Linked DNA regions of Rattus norvegicus. The protein of the gene in region 3 purifies or fractionates together with the protein of the main gene of each other region. This does not show direct contact. Links are inferred from orthologs where the notes say so. Each region holds a gene or a part of one and is shown on either strand. Other genes may lie near its edges.

Region 1 (5,816 bases), on a different chromosome or scaffold from region 3:
TTAGGGTCAGCTATGAAGGGCCACAGTAAGGACTCTAGGGTGGGATCTGAGGACTTGAACTTCTGAGCACCTGCCCCCACTTGTGAGTTACAGGCGCCTCTCCCTAGATGACGGCTGCACTTTCACGGCACCAATTTTCACCTGGTACCGGGAAATCAGACCCAGGGCTTCCTGCATGCCAGGAAAATATTGTCCTGAGGTTTTTCTGAACCCGAGAACTCTTTTCTTAATTAGAGCATAAAAGGTCTTTTAACTATAGGATTCATAATATTTTTCATCTGGAAACTAGAGCAGATAAAAACTGTTCTTTTTTTTTTGAGCTGGGAACTGAACCCAGGGCCTTGCACTTGCTAGGCAAGCGCTCTACCACTGAGCTAAATTCCCAACCCCATAAAAACTGTTCTTAAGTGTGACTTACTATAGAAAAAGACACAACTCGTTCTAATAAAGTAGCCCCTGGCTTTCAGATTTCAGACTTGATTGGGGAAGCTCTAAATCTTAATGGGAGCCTGTGGGAAGCTGGGTATTTGGATATCAGGCATGAGGACAAGAAATTCAAGCCATCTCCAATTCTCCTAGATCCTGTCTAAAAACCAACCAACCAAACCCAAACCCAGGCCACCTTAAAGATTCATCTGGGATCCTCAGGTCGTCATTTTCCCTCCCCAAGCCCCTTGCAGACTGGGGCGGTCAGGTGTTGCAGTCTCTGGGGGAAGGACAGTTCAGAAGGGGGCTCCCCTGGCTGTCATGGTTTTCAAATGTACCCTTGCTCCTGTTCCCATGTGAGGCTTCCAGTAGAAGACTTCTTTAGAGGCCTCTGAGAAACCTCTTTATGGAGGAAGAAGGAAACTGAAGATTGTGTCCTCATTCTGACTGAGTGCTCAGGACTTCTATTCCCAGTCTTTTCCTCCCTCCCCCGACAATGCAACTGTCCTGGCTCCCTCCACAATGAGATGGCCACCCATTCCAGGCTGTTCTGCTTGACTTGAGCTGCTGTGCTTCCATGGGAGGGGAATGGGACAAAGGCAGTTGGTGCCTTCTGTGACTTTAGCCCCTTTTTATGCCTCTGCTGAATGTAATAAAAGCTTAGCTCCTTTACTGCTGGTTTGTTGCTTTAATTAACTGCTCCCAAGCACATAAGTTGAGCTTTATTTCCTCTTCCAGCACAGTCAAACTCTTTTTAATTTATTTATTTTATGTACAATAGTGTTTTCCCTGCATGTATGTCTGTATGAGTGTTGGATCCCAGGTGTTATCAGCACTTGTAAGCTGCCATATAGGTGCTAGGAATTGAACCTGGGTCCTCTAAAAGAACAGTCAGTGTTATTAACCACTGAGCCATTTTTCCAGCCCCAACAATTTAACATAATTAAGAAAGGCAGTATCCCAAACCAAGAGACCTTCCCCTTTAAGATATTTAAGTCAAACGCAGGTACTGTGCTGCTGCACCTGACTTGTGACTAACTTGACCTGTGTGACTTACGCTGACATTTGCCTCCATTAGTCGGGTCACCATAGAAGCCAGATATGCAGGTCTCGCAGTGCTTGCCTGTGGTCAGGTCCTCACACTTCTCACAGATGCTCTGGTTGATGCACTTGCTGTGTCCATTGCACTGGCAAGCTGAAAGGCAAAGGATCTTAAGGGATCTGTTTCTCTCATAGAAGAACTAGGTGAATAAATTTCATATTTATTTGTATGATCTAAATGTTAAATCATGAAAACGAGTAAAGCACAACTGCCTGTGCCTATAGTTCCAGCTAGCAGGAGCTGAGGCAGGCAGCACAGGGCTTCTGATCCTGTGGACCTGTTTTGCTTAAGCCCAGAAGTTTCAGGTCAGCCTGGGTAACACAGTGAGATGCCCATCTAAAAATTTTGTTTCAATAAATAAAAATAAAGAAAGAGAGGAAAAAGCACTGGGTGTGGATTTTAAGGCAACATAGCAAGTTTGTGGCCAGTCTAAAAACTACAAACAAAACAAAACACCAAGGTTCACTAAAAACTATTATGAGAAAATAAAAAACAAATTAGTTTTGAAAAACCAAATATATTATCAAAGCAAGGTGAAAGTCCAAAGGAATATAAGAATACTTTTTGTTGTTATTCATTGTAGAAACTCATGGTACTTTGAATAATATAGTAATATAGAGATGAGGAAAAAATAATCAAACATAATCCCACTACCTAGGAAACATGATTCACATTTGGTATCTTTCTTTCCGGGGTTTTTAATTATTTTCTTTTCCTTAAAAAAAAAACACAATAATAGTAAATCATTTTAGCACCCTATTTTCTCCAATAGGTAAGTCATCTGGAAAAAAAATAAGCAGAGAAACTTCAGCATTAAATGATTTCTTATGTAAAATGAACCAAACAGATATCTACAGACTTTTCTACCTATGTCAAAACAACATACATTCCCTCAGCAGCACATAGCATTACATGCTGACACACAAGCATGTAATGTAGAAAGAGCTCTGTACCATTATGTAATAAAACAAAATCAGTCAGGTGGTGGTGGCACATGCCTTTAATCCCAGCACTTCAGTGCCAGAGGCAGGTGGATCTCTGTGAATTTGAGGTCAGACTGGTCTACAGAAAGAAAGTTCTAGAACAGACAGAGCTACAACACAGAGAAACCTTGTCTTAAAAAAATAAACAACAACAAACCACCTTAAAATCATCAGTAAACAAAATTCTAATAAATGTATAAACTCACTAGAGATTAAACAACTCATTGCTGAATGATGAATGGGTCAATGAAGAAATCAAAATATTCCTGGAGCTAAATTAAACCGAAAAGACAACACAACAAATCCCTGGGACCAGGTCGTCTAAAGGGGGAAGGTGACAGTCCCAGGTGGGCTCTGGTCAAGAAATCCACAAGAACGCAGATGAGTGACTTAGTGATAAAACTGAAAATTTTGGAAAAGTAAGAACTAAACCCAACCCAAACCCAGTAGATGGCAAGAAATAATAAAAATCAGTGAAAAAGGAACAAAGAAAATAATACAAAGAATTAATGAATCTAAGAACTGGTTCTTTAAAAAGATAAGAAGACCAAGAGACTAACTAGCCACAATAAAGAGAGATTAAGAGGGTGAACGGGGAAATCTTACAACAGATGCCAAAGAAATATAAAATGCTATGAAGAAATACTTTAAAACTCATATTCCATTTAGTTGGAAATCTAAAAGGGATGGATTAATTTCTTGATTCATCCAAATGACCAAAGTTAAATCATAAGGAGACTAGCAGACTAAACAGACCATCACAAACAAGGAGACTGAAACAGTAATACAAAGTCTTCCAAATAGAGTCCAGAACCACATGGGTTCTCAGCAGAATTCTACCAGACAACAACCACTCATTCTTAAATTATTTAAAGAAAATAAACAGAGAGATTACTCCCAAATTCGTCCTATGAAGCCAGAACTACTCTAATATGCACAGTCAGTAAAAACAGCAAAAATAAGCAAACTATCGACAGTACTACCACTGATGAACATGGATGCAGAAGTCCTTGATAAAACAATAACAGACACACTATACGCACATAGCACAGAGATCACCCACAAAAGCATGTGGGCTTTATCCCAGAACTCCAGGTTGGCTCAACATACATAAGTCAATAAATACAACACATAATATAAACAGACTTAAAGATGAAATCACATGCCCATCTCAATAGATGTAGAAAGGGCTTGTAAAATACCCAACATGCTTTCCTGATAAAAGTCCTAGAGAGAACAGGACTGGAGCGAACATACCTCAATATAATAAGGGCTGTGTATGACAAACCCATAACCAACACTATCTTAAATGGGGAAAACGCTGACTAATCCCATTAAAATAAGAAACAAGGCCAGGCTGTTCACAGTCACCACTCCTTTTCAATATTGTGCTGGAAGCATTAGCTGGAATAACAAGGCAAATGAAAGAAATAAAGGGATACAAATAGGAAAAGAAGAAGTCAATTTATCCCTATTTACAGATTATATAAGATATATAAGAAATCTCAAAAACTCTATCACTAGACTTTTAAAAACAATCAACAATGTCAGCAGAGTGGCAGAGTACAAAATCAGCTCTCAAAACTTAGTAGTTTGGGGCTGAGGAGTTGGATCAGTAGGTAGGAGCACCTGGCTTCAATTCTAGCATCTACAGGCAGCTCAGAGCTATCCACAAATCCAGTCCCCGGGGATCTGATGCCCAGAGGGCATGATGCATATGATATACATACACATGTTCCAACAAACACTTATACACGTAAATTAAAACGAATTAAACTAAAAAACACTGAGAACAAGATCATGGACATACTACCATGTCTAACACCAAAGACAATGCAATATCTAGAAATAAACTTAACCAAAGGGCTTCTACAATGAAGACCCCAAAATCTCTTTAAGAGATTTAAGAGAGGGATATAGAGAGGTACTAGAAAATGGAGTCATCCTATGTTCATGGATCAGTAAAGTTAATACTGTGAAAATAACCATTCTACCAAAAGCAATTTACAGATTCAATTGCAATCAAAATACCAACAATTCTTCTCAGAAATAGAAAACAAAATCCTAAATTCACATGGAACCAGAAAAGAGCCCAGGAAGGCCAAAGCAATGCTGAGCAGAAGGATTAAAACTGCAGGGATTGCCATCGGAGATCAAGACCTATCACAGACCACAGTAATTCAAACAATATGGTACTGTACAAAACAGACATGCAAACCAACAGAATAAAACAGAAAAGCCAAGCCTAACTAAGTACTCATAGCTACAGGCATCTGGTATTTATGAAAAGGCAACAAAACAAAACAAAACAAAACAAAACAAAACAAACCCTGTAGAAAAGACAGTATCTTCAAAAGCGGTGCTGGGAAAACTGGATGTCTGAATACAGAGGAAGGAATGAAAGAGATCTGTATCTATCACCTTTCATAAAACCTGACCCAAATGGATCAAAGATATAACCCAAACCACTGAAACTTCTAGAATAAAACACAGGCAGTACCATACATGATACAAGTGTAGGAAAGGACTTTTTATGAGGACTCCACTTGCTCAGGAATTAAGGACAACTGGCAAAGGGGACTTCATAAAGTTAAAACACTTCTGTGCAACAAAGGAGACCATCAATCAAGTAAAGAAAAGCAGGACGAAGAGCATCTTTGTCAGCTACACATCCAACAGAGGGATGCAGAACATAGAAAGAACTCAAACACAGTGAAGAAAACAAGTGACCTAATCAAAAATGGTCTAGGGATCTGGGCTTCTAGTTTATGTCAAGGTCTATTCTTTATAAACAGATAGTAAGAGATTTGAACTAGGATACACAGGCATCTTACCTGGACAGTGAATAAAAGACCAGTTGTATCTGCTGTCCTCTAGACACATGCTGGAGTTCAGAAGGGGCTGTGGGTACACATTTCCTGTAGAGGCATGTGAAGGCATCTTCACGGGTCCTTTATAGCTTCCCTCAATACATTTGCCTTTCCCAGTATTGCTAGGATCAGTACACCAACCACAGCCTGGCTGCTCCAAGCAATGGCTGCAGGTACAGTAGCCAGAGCAATTTTCAGCTATTAAAAAATAAAACAAAACAATCCAACATGTAACTCACTATCACAAGATTTGAATTTACTATTGTTATCTTTTCTTTTAACAGATGATTTAACTTCTATGAATTAAAACTAGTACTAGTACCCTATAGTGATTATTGAAATGAAATAATTTAAAGGGCCCAAATTTTATGCAATATATAACAAGGACTTTTCCAACCTTTTAATATCAGAATGTTGAATGAAGAAGGGACCTAG
Region 2 (5,816 bases), on a different chromosome or scaffold from region 3:
AGGGATTCTGTTCTAGTAGACCTTTTCTGAGATCTGCATGAGGCCTGTTTGCCTCTCAGTTAGCTTGCATGACACCAGCACCAAATCACCAAGACTGAGAAGGAAGAGGCTCCAGGTCTTAAAGGCTGTGTTTTAGACTCTTAAACCCAGCCAACAGGAATTCTCTGTCCTGAGTTGTAGGACAGGCAGTCCTCCTGTTCCTTTCCTGGCCCCCTTAATTTTTTGTCAAGAAATTTGAAGTAGAATGGTTCTGGGGTTCTACAGCATATAATTGAAGCCCAAGTACTGAGATTCCTGTCCTGGGCTTTTCACTACATATAGGCTGGACCTCCCTGTGGGGCTCCCTCCCATACTGGCACTGATAGTCGGGACAGCAGGGACGTCACCCAGCTTCCCAGGCTGAGTGTGGCCTTTGTCCTAGAGACCCAGAGAAGCCCTGGGACAGTAAGCATGGGTTGGGGGTGGGAACAGCAAGGGGCATGGCTTTTGTTCATGAATGGGGACACGGGCTCAACGCTCTCATTTTCTGATGGTCAGCCTGGCATGAGACGGACTTCTGCATAAGGAAAAGGATGGTCCTGGAAGCATTGTGGGGACTGGCAAGACAGGAGGCTAGTCTCTGAGTCACTAGAGCAAAGCTTCAGTGGACCAGCATGGCTCAGGGAACATCACACTCTCAGAACATGACTCACATTGAAGCGAAGGCCTCACGCTCTGTGGGAATGCCTGAGAAGCAGGCAGCGAGGAGCAAGAATTGGCACAGGGAGTACTGCACCATGATTATTCAGAAAAAGCAAATGCACCAAACACCAGTGGGCTTGTTCTTCCCGTGCAGAAGCAGCAGAGATATCAGGCTGGTTGGGCCCTGGAAGAACTAGCCACTTGGTGTGACTGGGCAGCCTCGTGGTGAGCAGAGCTGGCAGTGGCAGGCTCTTGGAAAAGCAAGGGCCACTTGGCTAAGCTGACTGCTTCCTGTTTCTGTCTGGGATGGCTGAAGCTCTCAGTCCCTATAGAAAAAATGGCTGCTGGTTCAGAGGAGTAACATTGGAGATGGGATGCTGGGTTGGGGGTCCATGGCTCCACAGGAGTCAGGTGGCTGCCTTGCTGCCCTCAGGTACAGCTGTAAGAACCCTTCTCTGCAATCTGAGACTGTCCATTACAAGAGAGGCGTTAGCCAGCAGTTCTCCCTGCCTTCTTTCAAGATTGACTTCTCCGAGTGGAAGGATGATGAGGTAACCCTGGGGAATTCGGGAACTCGAGTGGTGCACAGACATACCTGCAGGTCAAACACCCATGCACATAAAATGTGAAAATAAAAACAAAACAAGCAGCGTCCTCTAGCTCCCTCTGGTGGTGGGTGTGTGTCCTCTTCCACTGTCATTTGTCCTGGGCTACTCAGAGGACAGGATTGCAGTCACTGCACACCTTCTGCAGCCACTGGTTCTGTGCTGAGTTCACTTAGTGCAGCTGGCTTGTTCCAGGATGCGGAGTGCAGCTGAGAAGAGCACGAATGCTTGGGGCTACTCGGAGCATAAGAGACCCCAGTGCATTCAGGCTTGCGCTCTGTCAGCTTCCAGCCTGGCATGGGCATGCGGCTCTGCTCTTGTAGCTAGCTTACCTGACTAACAGACACTTCCTACATGAGAGGCTCTTCTTGGTCTTAGTTTATGATCTTGTAGGGTCAGCATGCTGCCAACGTCAGCATCAGCAGGAGCACTCCGGAGTGGCTCCTCTGAAGAGACCGCATGCCAGAGCAAGGCAGTCACCCAGGAAGGTCATTCGCTTTCTTACATCCCAGTTTGTGAGGAGTGCTGTTCTGGGTGATGTACCCATCCTGTGGCTTCACAGTGTTCTACCCAGCCTGGTGCTGTGACTGCCCACATGGCCATCTGCTGCTACCTCCTCTACTGCCTGTATCCTACTTCCAAACACAAAAGGAACCGTGTGGAGTGAAGCATGTTGTCCCAGGCATTGTGCTCAGCCTTGCACTTAGACTGGCCTGTTCCTCTAGAGATGAGAATCAGGCTCAGTTGAGTTTGTTCACAGTGAATGAGCACAGGGCCGAGCTGGAAGCCAGTGCTCCGAGTGTGATGAAATGCCATACAAGGCAGCCTTTAAAGGATGCCTTTAATTGGGGGCTTACCTACAGGGTGAGTCTGTGACCATCATGGTGGGAGCATGGCAGGCAGGCATGGCGCTGGGGCAGGAGGTGAGAGCTCATATTTTGTGAAGAGTCGCAGCCAGAAAGAGACTGGGAGGGTATGGGCTTTTGTTTGTTTTTGTTTTGTTTCGGGGGATGTTGATTTTTGAGACAGGTTTTCTCTTTGTAACAGCCCTGGCTGCCCTGGAACTCACTTTGTAGACCAGGATGGTCTTGAACTTACAGAGATCCACCTTCCAAGTACTGGGATTAAAGGCTAGTGCCACCACTGCCTGGCTTGCTTTTGGTATTCAGGCAGTCTTTGTGTGTGTGTGTGTGTGTGTGTGTGTGTGTGTGTGTGTGTGTGTGTGTGTGTGTGTGTGTGTATGTGTGTGTGTATGTGTGTGTGTGTAAGTTAACATTGAACTCACAGAGATCTGCCTGCCTGGGATTAATGGTATGCACTACTGTTGTTTAAGACAGGGTTTCACTGATGAGCTCACCACTCTTCTGCCTCTGCTTCCTGAGTAACTGAAGTCAGCGGTGTGCACTGCTATATCTGGCCCATTGACCACTCTTCCAGTAACTCCTTAGTGAGAATAAATGGAAATGTCTGCTTCCCTGAGATACCAGAGGGCTCTAGAGGCTGGACAGGCTGAACTTTGCAGGGTTAGGGCCAGGGGTTCCAGGATAGTAGGTCTTTGTGAAGTGATGGGGACCTGTTCTGTCACAGGCTGCTGTGTGGGGTTGGGTGTGGGAGGAAGGCAGCTGCTGGCCTAGAAAGGGAAGCATGGGCCAAGTGGTCTCTAACTCACTGTTGCTCTCATTCCGTCTCTGGTGGGGCTTAAGCCAGACACGTTCCATCAAGCAGTTACCTAATAAAATTTCACCCAAAGCAGGAGACTGGGTGTCAGCACTGTTCACAGTGTTCACAATGTCAAAACCATGGATCCACAACTTATGAATAGACAATGTGGCTTACCCACCGCCTAGAATAACTGCAACACAAAAAGGGAATGGGACTGTGGGAATTGTGACTGAACTTAGAAAGCGTGCTCAATAAAAAAGCTAGGCATAAAAAGGTAGACACTAAACAGTTCACCGTAGGAACTGTCCAGAGAGGCACACCCACAGTTCTGGAAGGCACGCAAGTAGCTGTCAAGGATGGAGAAGATGGCCTTTCTGTTTGGAGAGCCAGTCGGGAGCCATGTGGTCTAGTGGTCCAATGGCACTGAGTGTCCTTGATTCCCTCGGTCTGCTCCAGTTCGAGCTGACCAGCTCACTACCTGTGGACCTGACCATTTCTGCTTTCTTTCTGAAGCTGAACTTTGACCTGGACCGGGGTGTGTTTCCAGTAGTCATCCAGGCTGTGGTGGATGAAGGAGATGGTGAGCATTGCTGGTCTTTCCTCATCTTCATTGTCAACTGTGTAGGACCTGTGGGGGGAAGTGGCTTCCTTCTTCCTGAGTCATCAAAGGACCCCTCTTCTGGAAACTGTGTCCGTCATAGCTCACATGCAGGTTCATTGCCGTGCGACAGCTTGAGAAGTGGGTGCTGGATGAGGACAAGGATAGGAGTAGACTCTGGGCTCTGCCAGTGCTGTAGGGAAAGGGAAAAAGTCCCAGCCATGACCTCACACTGGCCTCCCCTCTCTTATTTCACTGCTTTAGTTGTGGAAGTGACTGGCCACGCTCATGTGCTCTTGGCTGCCTTTGAGAAGGTAAGTGCCATCCTGGCCACCACCCTGTCTCCTGGGAACTGGGGCAGGCAGTGGTGAGGCAGAATGTTGTAGACAAAAACCAGCTCCATCGGACCTTCAAGAACCTGCCAGCACAAGCTAGGGTGCCAACATGGAAACCCTACTACAGACTAACTTTCCCTCCGCCAGCCACCATCTTTTCCCACCAGGTTCAGTATCCTCAGGTGCCACCAGGCACTGGTCTCAGCCTTGCCTGAGGTGTGTGTCTACCTCACCCCTCCTGCTAGCTGCAGCTTGTAGTCCAGGTAGGGCTGGGCAGATTTCCATCCCCATAGGAGGCCTTCCTGGTCCCTCAGAACAACTGTTAATGTTATTATGTGTGTCAGGGCAGGAGGGGCTGACTGGTGGGTAAGGGTCTGCTGCCTGCTGGAACAGCCTCTGGCCTGTATACATACACACTCTCCTGCTTGTGGGAGGTGTGGGCGGGGTCCACTCCCCAGGCCTTTGTCATTCCTTAGTTAGCAGCTAAAAACAGCACCAGGCTGGAGCCCAGGTTACAAGGATCCCAACAACGGACTGGATTACTTGGGAGGTCCCCATGGCTCATTTTCTGCTGACTCATCCTGAGTCCTGCTGACTTGGGGTCCTTTACCAAGGTTTGCATGCTTTCAGTGCCGAGCCCGTTCCTACTGTGACCCAGGTCTCTGGACCACTCTGGGGTCTTCAGAGCTTTGCCAGCCTGCTCTGTGGGAAGCCTTGGGATGCTCTTTTGGGGCAGAAGTGCAGTTGACATGAGCGAGCTGGCCCTCACCTCCTGAGCACCCCATGTTTGGGAGAAGTGCTCACAACAGGATCTGGTGAGACCAATGGGCTGTCCCTCACAGGTTTCCATTCAGTGCTTGCATGGAAAGCTAAGTAAGAAACTTTGTTTTGTAGTATGACATTCTAGAGATTTCCATTAGTATCTACGACCCTGAGTGCTGGTTTTAGTTGACTCCGTGTAATTGGTGTCATTTCAAAATTTCCACTCTAAACCCTGATAAACCTTCCCAACTCTGAGAGCTCTGCTTCCCTAGATATCACTAAGCACACTTGTTTATCCCACTTTGTTCTTTATTTTTAGCTCTCTGAGTGTGTTTTGTGTCATCTTCCTGACTAAGCCATGCTCAAGAATTTTTGTGTATTCACGCTTGCTTCTGGGTAGCAGGAAGTGCCTTGCCAAGATCAGAGTGTAGCTGAGTGGCTTCAGTTTGCGCATGCTGAGACCCACTCAGGATAGTTGGGTTCTCCAGGGATGTTTGACGGTGCTCCAGGTACTGTAGAAGGCAGGCATGCAGTCACAGATGAGGTCATTGTGGCCTGGTTCCTGTCTTCACCCTTTTATTGTCAGCCATGAACGTAGGTTGGCCTTCATCGGTCTGGACAAGAGTGCAGGGAGGGGCTGGTTTGAGAGTAACTGTGTCTCTCTCCTGCAGCACGTGGATGGCAGCTTCTCCGTGAAGCCATTAAAGCAGAAGCAAATTGTAAGTGCCAGATAACACGGGCCTTTGGGTTGCAAAACACACATAATGCAGCTGTGAACACATGCCTGGTCTCCATGGCTGTTCCTTCTGGACATGAAGGAGCTGCTTTCCTGAGTCTGCCCTGTTGTGCTCTGGGATATTGGGGTCTGTGCTTTGTGTGTGGTGGTTACATAGCTACTTGATGCTACAGCAACTGTGTAGGTGCCTGAGTCCTGCCTATCGTGAACCATGGTGCGTGGGTTGCAGTTAGTTCTTGGTGAGTGTTTGCTAAATGAGTGGGTGGAGGAACTAAGGAAAAACGGGAAGCAGAAATATGGCAGCTGCCTCTTGCTTACAAATTACTGGAAATAGAGCAGCATTGGGTAAAGACTTGAATGAACCATGTCAGCACCTCACACGGGAGGAACTCCAGGGTATAGGGGAGACTTGGGATAGCATTTTATGTTTTGTGTTA
Region 3 (6,396 bases):
GCATGTAACACGTTGCTGTTTGTGTCTGTTTGCACTCCACTCCATTCAAGCAGGGCTGTGACGCCTCAAAGCCTTACCTGCCTCTGTTCTATGGCAAGCACCCGACCTTGTTCTTACGACCATCTTGTCACCTGCCACTCTCACGTCCATCGTGGGGCTCATCCAGTGAGCGGGTAACACAGCCAGTCCCTTTCTCCCTGCACTCCACTCTTACCCCTTTCCCTCAACTATTCCAGTTTCTCCTTATGTCCTTTAATGTTCTCTCTCAGTCACATCAACGTTCAGTTCCTTAGTCACGCAGTCTCAATGCCTTTAGCCATACCTACTATGGTCTGGATAGGAAGTGTCCCCCAAAGGCTCAGGTAATGGAGGCCTGGTTCCCCGTGCTGGGGCTAAATTTCAGTGTCCCCTGTTAAGTAATTTTATCATGTACAAGCATATAAGGGGAAATAGCACCTCATATAAAGGACCTGGTACTATCCAAGGTTCCAGACATTCTTGGAGGTCTTGGATTATATCCTCGGGAACAGTGAAGGGCTATGGTACTTCCTTCTCTCTGACCCATCTTTGGAATTACAGTCAGCCTGAACACGTTAAGTCAGGTCCTGCTGCTCTTCTGATCAAATCACTCTGTCCACCTCCTCCTTCCTATGTAGACCCTTACTAGCATCCACTAGGCTTCTGGCTTCATTCCTCCCTTCTGCCCTCTGCTCAAGCCTGTGGCTCCTTGTTAGTCTCCAACAGGCTGGTGTTCTCTAGGTTTCTGTGATTGCTGTATACTTTTCCCCTGACAGCTGGAGGGCGGCCCTGCATGGCCACACTGTCACTTCAGCACATTCTCTCGGACACGATTTCTTACTGCAAAACTGTAAGTCCCTTTCCCAGTATGTCCTACCACAGCCTCGCTTTAGATTTTTTCTTAGTAATCATTACCATTAACTGGATTTATTTCCACTTTTAAGCAAATAATTTTATTGTCGCCATCTTCCTGCAAGGGAAAGTTAGCTCCATTAGATCAGGACTTGGGTCACCCCTGGTTCTTAGAATTGCCCCACCATGAAAAACAGGATGTGGGGCTGCTGCATGAACCCTGACCATGCAATTCTTTTTTTTTTTTTTCTGGGGGGGTGGGGGTGGTTAGTACAAGACGGGATTTCTCTGTGTAACAGCCCTGGCTGTCCTGGAACTCTCTATGTAGACCAGGCTAGCCTCTAAGTCACAGAGATCTCTCTGCCCCTACCTCCTGAGTACTGGTGTTAAAGGCTTGTGCCCCCATGTCACAGGCAGCTCTTGACAACGCAACTCTTAAATTCTATGCTAAATCCTAATGTAGCTAAGCAAATTGGGACTCAGTGGTGGCTGGCTTGACACAAGGAAGCACCTGAGAAGGGAGTCTCGGCGAGGAAGTGCTCCTCCACTGGGTCAGCTGGAGTGGAAAGGCCCACAGTGGGCAGCACTGTTTCAGGAGCAAGGGCAAAATGGAGAAGATGGAGCGGAGCACAGGGCTGAGTCTCTGCCCTCTGCTCGGGTAAAGTGGCTTGCACGGCTACAGTGCGACTAGCTGCTTCATGTCCCTGCCGCCGTCCCTTCTCCACCATGCTAGACTGGAGTCCCCGCAATAGTAAAGGAACTTAGACTCTATAAGCCCCAGTCTCTGGGATTGGGGAACAACCATCCCCAGTCTCACAGTGAAACTCCTTCATCATGCAGTCAGCAACTCCATTTGCTGTACAGAATGTGCCCTGAGTCCTTCATAACCCACCATGTGGCAGTTCTATCCATGCTGCGTGTGCAACGCACACTCGATAGAGCTGCTGTGAAAATACAATTAACGAACACACAGCTAAGATGTGCGAACAAACACAGACACACTTCTACATCAAATCAACCTATTCTGAAACAGTGAGAACCCAGGACATTTAACCTTACTACCACCACAAAGCTTAATGAACAAACATACTTCTCTTTAAAGTAAACCGACAGTGGCACAGGCATAATGTCATAGCATAAGTCTAAGAGAAACCAGTTCAGGCTACAAATTTTATCAATAAGCAGAAATCTTTTTTTTTTTTCCACCATTATAAGAAACTTTGTATGGAAGAGAAACTTCCACACTATCTAACTTTATTTCTGTATATTTTCTTCAAGAGGTACAATTTATGAGTCCTATATATTTTGCACAATAATTGCCTAGGTATTTACTACTATGAATTTTTTTTTATTAACTTGAGTATTTCTTATATACATTTCGAGTGTTATTCCCTTTCCCGGTTTCCGGGCAAACATCCCCCTCCCCCCTCCCCTTCCTTATGGGTGTTCCCCTCCCAACCCTCCCCCCATTGCCGCCCTCCCCCCATAGACTAGTTCACTGGGGGTTCAGTCTTAGCAGGACCCAGGGCTTCCCCTTCCACTGGTGCTCTTACTAGGATATTCATTGCTACCTATGGGGTCAGAGTCCAGGGTCAGTCCATGTATAGTCTTTAGGTAGTGGCTTAGTCCCTGAAAGCTCTGATTGAATAAGCAGAAATCTTAAGAAACACTACCTTTGGGGTTGGGGATTTAGCTCAGCGGTAGAGCGCTTGCCTAACGAGCGCAAGGCTCTGGGTTTGGTCCCCAGCTCCAAAAAAAAAAAAAAAAAAAAAAAAAAGAAAAGAAAAAAAAATAAAGAAAGAAAAAAGAAACACTACCTTTGGAAGGTAAAGGGTGCTGGCGTGAAGTCTTGTGTGTCTCTGATTCCACTTACTCTGCCAACTGTCTGGCCTTGGACAGGTTAATTTAGACTCTGTGCCTCAGTTTATCTGCAAATCAGAGATGGTACTTGTGAGGGCTGTTGCAAAGACTTTAAAAGGGCACATTAGTGGGCACAATATCCGACATGAAGACAGCCAGTTGCTACTGCAACATAAAAACCACCATACCACTGAGAGCGCCCTTGGGAAGCGCCTAAGTACCATGCCACATTCTGAAGAGTGAGCAGTGTCCCTTACTCTTCAATAGTACACACTTACTACATTCCTCAGCCAATTCGAGATTCTGTGGAATGCTGTTAAGAATAAATGTTTTCTTCTCCGGAGAGAAACCAACTGCTTTTTAATGACGCGTGTCAAAGTATGAAAGTTGATGATCGCCTGAGGCCTAAGCACAAAATGTGCAAACCTTGTCTCACCGAGAATGCCCTGGGCAGTGTGACAGTCTGGGCAGATCACACGGACCTCCACAGTGCCCACGCTCGCCAGGGCTGCGGACTCCTCGTGACCAGCTAAGGACATGACAATTCCTAACTATGCTCTGCATCCCGGCCTGGGAAGGACGTCGCCATAGGGCTGGGGCGTGGGCTGCCAGGAGACTCCGAAATATCCGTGGGCATCCTCCGTGCAATCTCCCAGGCCTGACCTAGGCCCTCCCGCCATCATCGCCCGCGGCTAAGCCGCTCGGACCCGCACCGGGCTCCACGGCCCTTAGGGCAGGTGTCACTCGCTCCAGTCCAGCTGCTGCCCACAGCCCCGGCCCAGGTACCTGATCCTGAAGGAGCAATGAAGGCAGCAGCTCCTCCTCTCCAGTGACTGAGGGCGGGGCGCTGGCGGCCACAGAGGTGGAGCTCACGCGGGGCAGAGCGGCCTTGCACCTCGTGACGGCGCGCCCCCTGCAGGCGGGAGGCTCACATGGCGGCGGCTCGCCCTCTTACCAGCATCGTGCACTTTCACCTCTTTTTCTAAATACATGTCCCATTGACTCCACTAAGTAGAAATTTAAAAGGCAGAAACAAATATGTTAAGTGCCACGCGCATTAATTTGTTTCCGGCTACAGGGAAGATCTGAATCCACTTGTTAGCAAATCATGGCTTACAAGTCTACTTTAATATTCGATCCTACCGAGTTATTATTCAGATTGAATGCTTACGCCTTATTTATAAGTCCTTGACTTATCGTGACTTGTGTACAATCAAACCTGAAAATGATGATACACCCATGTACTGGAACATTCTTTCACATAGCTTCTCTCTCTCTCTCTCTCTCTCTCTCTCTCTCTCTCTCTCTCAACTCCAGTCATACAACCAAGGTGACTTCTTTTAAACACTGTTCTCTGAGTTCTAGTACCATCTACCCCACCAGATGACCCTGTAGAAGGTCATCTGTTCAAGAATTAAGTCTAAATCCGTCGTGCACCCCCCCTGCCCCCGCAATGTCAAATCGGTGTTTAGGATTATTGCCTGACTTGAAGAAATCTCACATTTCCTTCACTTAAGAATTATAAAAAGGCTGGAGAGATAGCTCAGTTGGTAAAGGACTTGCATTGCAAGCTTAAAGACCTGAGGTCAATCCCCAGAATCCGAATAAAAAGCCAAGCATGCTGGCTATGTGCGGTTCTGGCCCGTGGGAGATATCTGATTTCAGGGGGTCTCCCTGGCCAGCCAGCACAGCCTGTGCTACTCATGGAGTTCTGGGCCTCAATGAGAGTCCTGTCTCAAAAAAACCAAGATGGTTGGCTCTTATGGTATGTCACCTGAGGCTGACCTCTGGTCTCCATGAACAAGTGCACATAAGTATTTGCACACTTGGGTTCGTGCATGCATGCGCTCATGTGCACACAGACACAGGCCACACACAGAGGCACTCACGCACACACACATGTACATACACTGAATCTAAGATACCAGGGCGGGGTGAGCTCAGCAATCCCCAGGGCCGCCAATCATCTTAGGCTATTTAACATTTACTTGAACAGTGACTGATCATAAATATTCTGTAAATTGGGGATACATTAATCAATTAGTCAATATCTCCATATATGCCCATCCACTGTGTCAAGGCACTGGGTAATTTAAATGGTAATTCTATTCATATAATTTATCTTTCCCTGGTTGGTATATCAAACAACTTGAGAGGGTATTGAATGCCTGTATTCTAATTTATCTTTTCTTTTTCGTGAATTATGGCTTCGTTCAACAGGGAAAATTTAAGGACTGTGAAGACAGCTTTTTTTCCCTCCTCTGACGAGACTAAGGAAATGGACTTCGAGTTGCCTGTGCCCTCTGACTCCTTGTCCCCATGTCTGGGTACTTGACATGGTGGGGACTGAACATCTTCACAGACGCTGCTTTTACATCTCAGTGATATCCTGATACTGAGTGGGAGTGACCATAAATCACAAGATTATATCCTCCTAAATGCAAAGTAAAGAGTCTCCTATTGTCCTCTTGCTTACTTGAGCCCCACCGGGTGCTGACTCCCCAGGAAGAGTTCCTGAGGAAGTCTGAAGAAAGAGAGGCAGCGATCTTCATCAGCAGGGGCTGAATAACTCCCCAAACTCCTGTGAACACACTTCCAGAATCCCTCCCGAGGCTTGGCTGGGGTCTGTATAGGAGAGGGCTGTACCTCAGTTTCATATTGCCATGGTAACAAACCACCACAAATCTAACTGTTTAAGCGATTGCAGTAGTCATTTTATACACCAGGAAGGCCAGCAGCCACAGAGTTTCCACCCAGCTAAACTTCAAGTGCTACGTTGCTTTTAGAGGGTCTTCAGGACTCAGTCTCCCTAACTTACTCAGCTTCTAAAGCACCCTCTGTCCCTCAGCTTGTAGCCATTCCTCCATGTGCTGCCTTTGCTCTCCCCTGGATTTCATGCCAGCATCTTCTCTAACTTTCCCCCCTTATTTTACAACACCCCTGTGCTTTCATGGGACACACTTAGATCCTCCAGAATGATCTCCTCATCTTGGGATCTTTGTTTGGATGCTCACTCCTGCAGAGCCCCCTTTCCCTGGAGTGACATCTCGAGTCACCCAGGAGGTGCCTTGGGTGGGCCTGGAGAGCATCACCTCGGTTACATTAACTGAAGGAGGACGATCCATCCTATGTGGGTGACATGGCCCCGCCTGTGACCTTGGCTTGTGTAAACAGAGAAGGGAACTGAGCAGAGGCAGGCATCTCTTGCTGTCCACTTCCTGACTGTGGATACACTCTGACCAGCTGCCTCAAGCTTTTATGGCCATGGCTCCTGTGAAGAGATGGACTGTGTCCTGAACTACGAGCTGAAATAAGCCTTTTATCTCACGGGCTTTCTCTGTCACCTTACTTTATCACGGCAACAGAAGAAGAAGAAGAAGCTAAGACACATGGCAAAGTTGCATGTGTGTAGGTTCTGGGGACTGTGGGGAGGTGGACATTTAAAGGCTGCCATCTTGTTTATTACGAGTGCCTTATCTTAGACTTTACTCTGATCAGGAAAATGTCCCTCTTTGTCTTTGTCACCACAGATACATTTGGTCATAAGTTCTGACTGTAAAAATCGCAACTGGGATAAGATAATGAAATAAAGCCTTTTTCATTGAGGAAAGACAGCAGCGATGTGCTTGGATAAACAGTTATTCTGAGACTCAATATTTATTCTTC

What was found. The genes of interacting proteins can lie anywhere in the genome.
Region 1: the proteins of Ankrd46 (region 3) and Atrn purify together in Homo sapiens (co-immunoprecipitation; 3 studies listed by BioGRID and IntAct, with this or other methods). This does not show direct contact. The link is inferred for Rattus norvegicus from reciprocal best matches to the Homo sapiens genes ANKRD46 and ATRN.
Region 2: the proteins of Ankrd46 (region 3) and Mgrn1 purify together in Homo sapiens (co-immunoprecipitation; 3 studies listed by BioGRID and IntAct, counting the BioPlex papers as one, with this or other methods). This does not show direct contact. The link is inferred for Rattus norvegicus from reciprocal best matches to the Homo sapiens genes ANKRD46 and MGRN1.

What each region holds. Positions count from the first base shown.
Region 1 is NC_086021.1:138,645,426-138,651,241, reverse strand, and holds part of Atrn (attractin precursor), read right to left. Parts: intron 5,580-5,816; coding exon 5,346-5,579; intron 1,622-5,345; coding exon 1,484-1,621; intron 1-1,483. UniProt on the Homo sapiens protein: Involved in the initial immune cell clustering during inflammatory response and may regulate chemotactic activity of chemokines. May play a role in melanocortin signaling pathways that regulate energy homeostasis and hair color.
Region 2 is NC_086028.1:11,162,877-11,168,692, reverse strand, and holds part of Mgrn1 (E3 ubiquitin-protein ligase MGRN1), read left to right. Parts: intron 1-798; exon of another isoform or gene 799-899; intron 900-1,114; coding exon 1,115-1,232; intron 1,233-3,461; coding exon 3,462-3,528; intron 3,529-3,810; coding exon 3,811-3,860; intron 3,861-3,874; exon of another isoform or gene 3,875-5,231; coding exon of another isoform or gene 5,232-5,237; intron 5,238-5,314; coding exon 5,315-5,362; intron 5,363-5,816. UniProt on the Homo sapiens protein: E3 ubiquitin-protein ligase. Mediates monoubiquitination at multiple sites of TSG101 in the presence of UBE2D1, but not of UBE2G1, nor UBE2H. Plays a role in the regulation of endosome-to-lysosome trafficking.
Region 3 is NC_086025.1:69,549,689-69,556,084, forward strand, and holds the start of Ankrd46 (ankyrin repeat domain-containing protein 46), read right to left. Parts: upstream 3,590-6,396; 5' UTR 3,517-3,589; exon of another isoform or gene 3,157-3,516; intron 2,799-3,156; 5' UTR 2,688-2,798; intron 2,669-2,687; exon of another isoform or gene 1-2,668.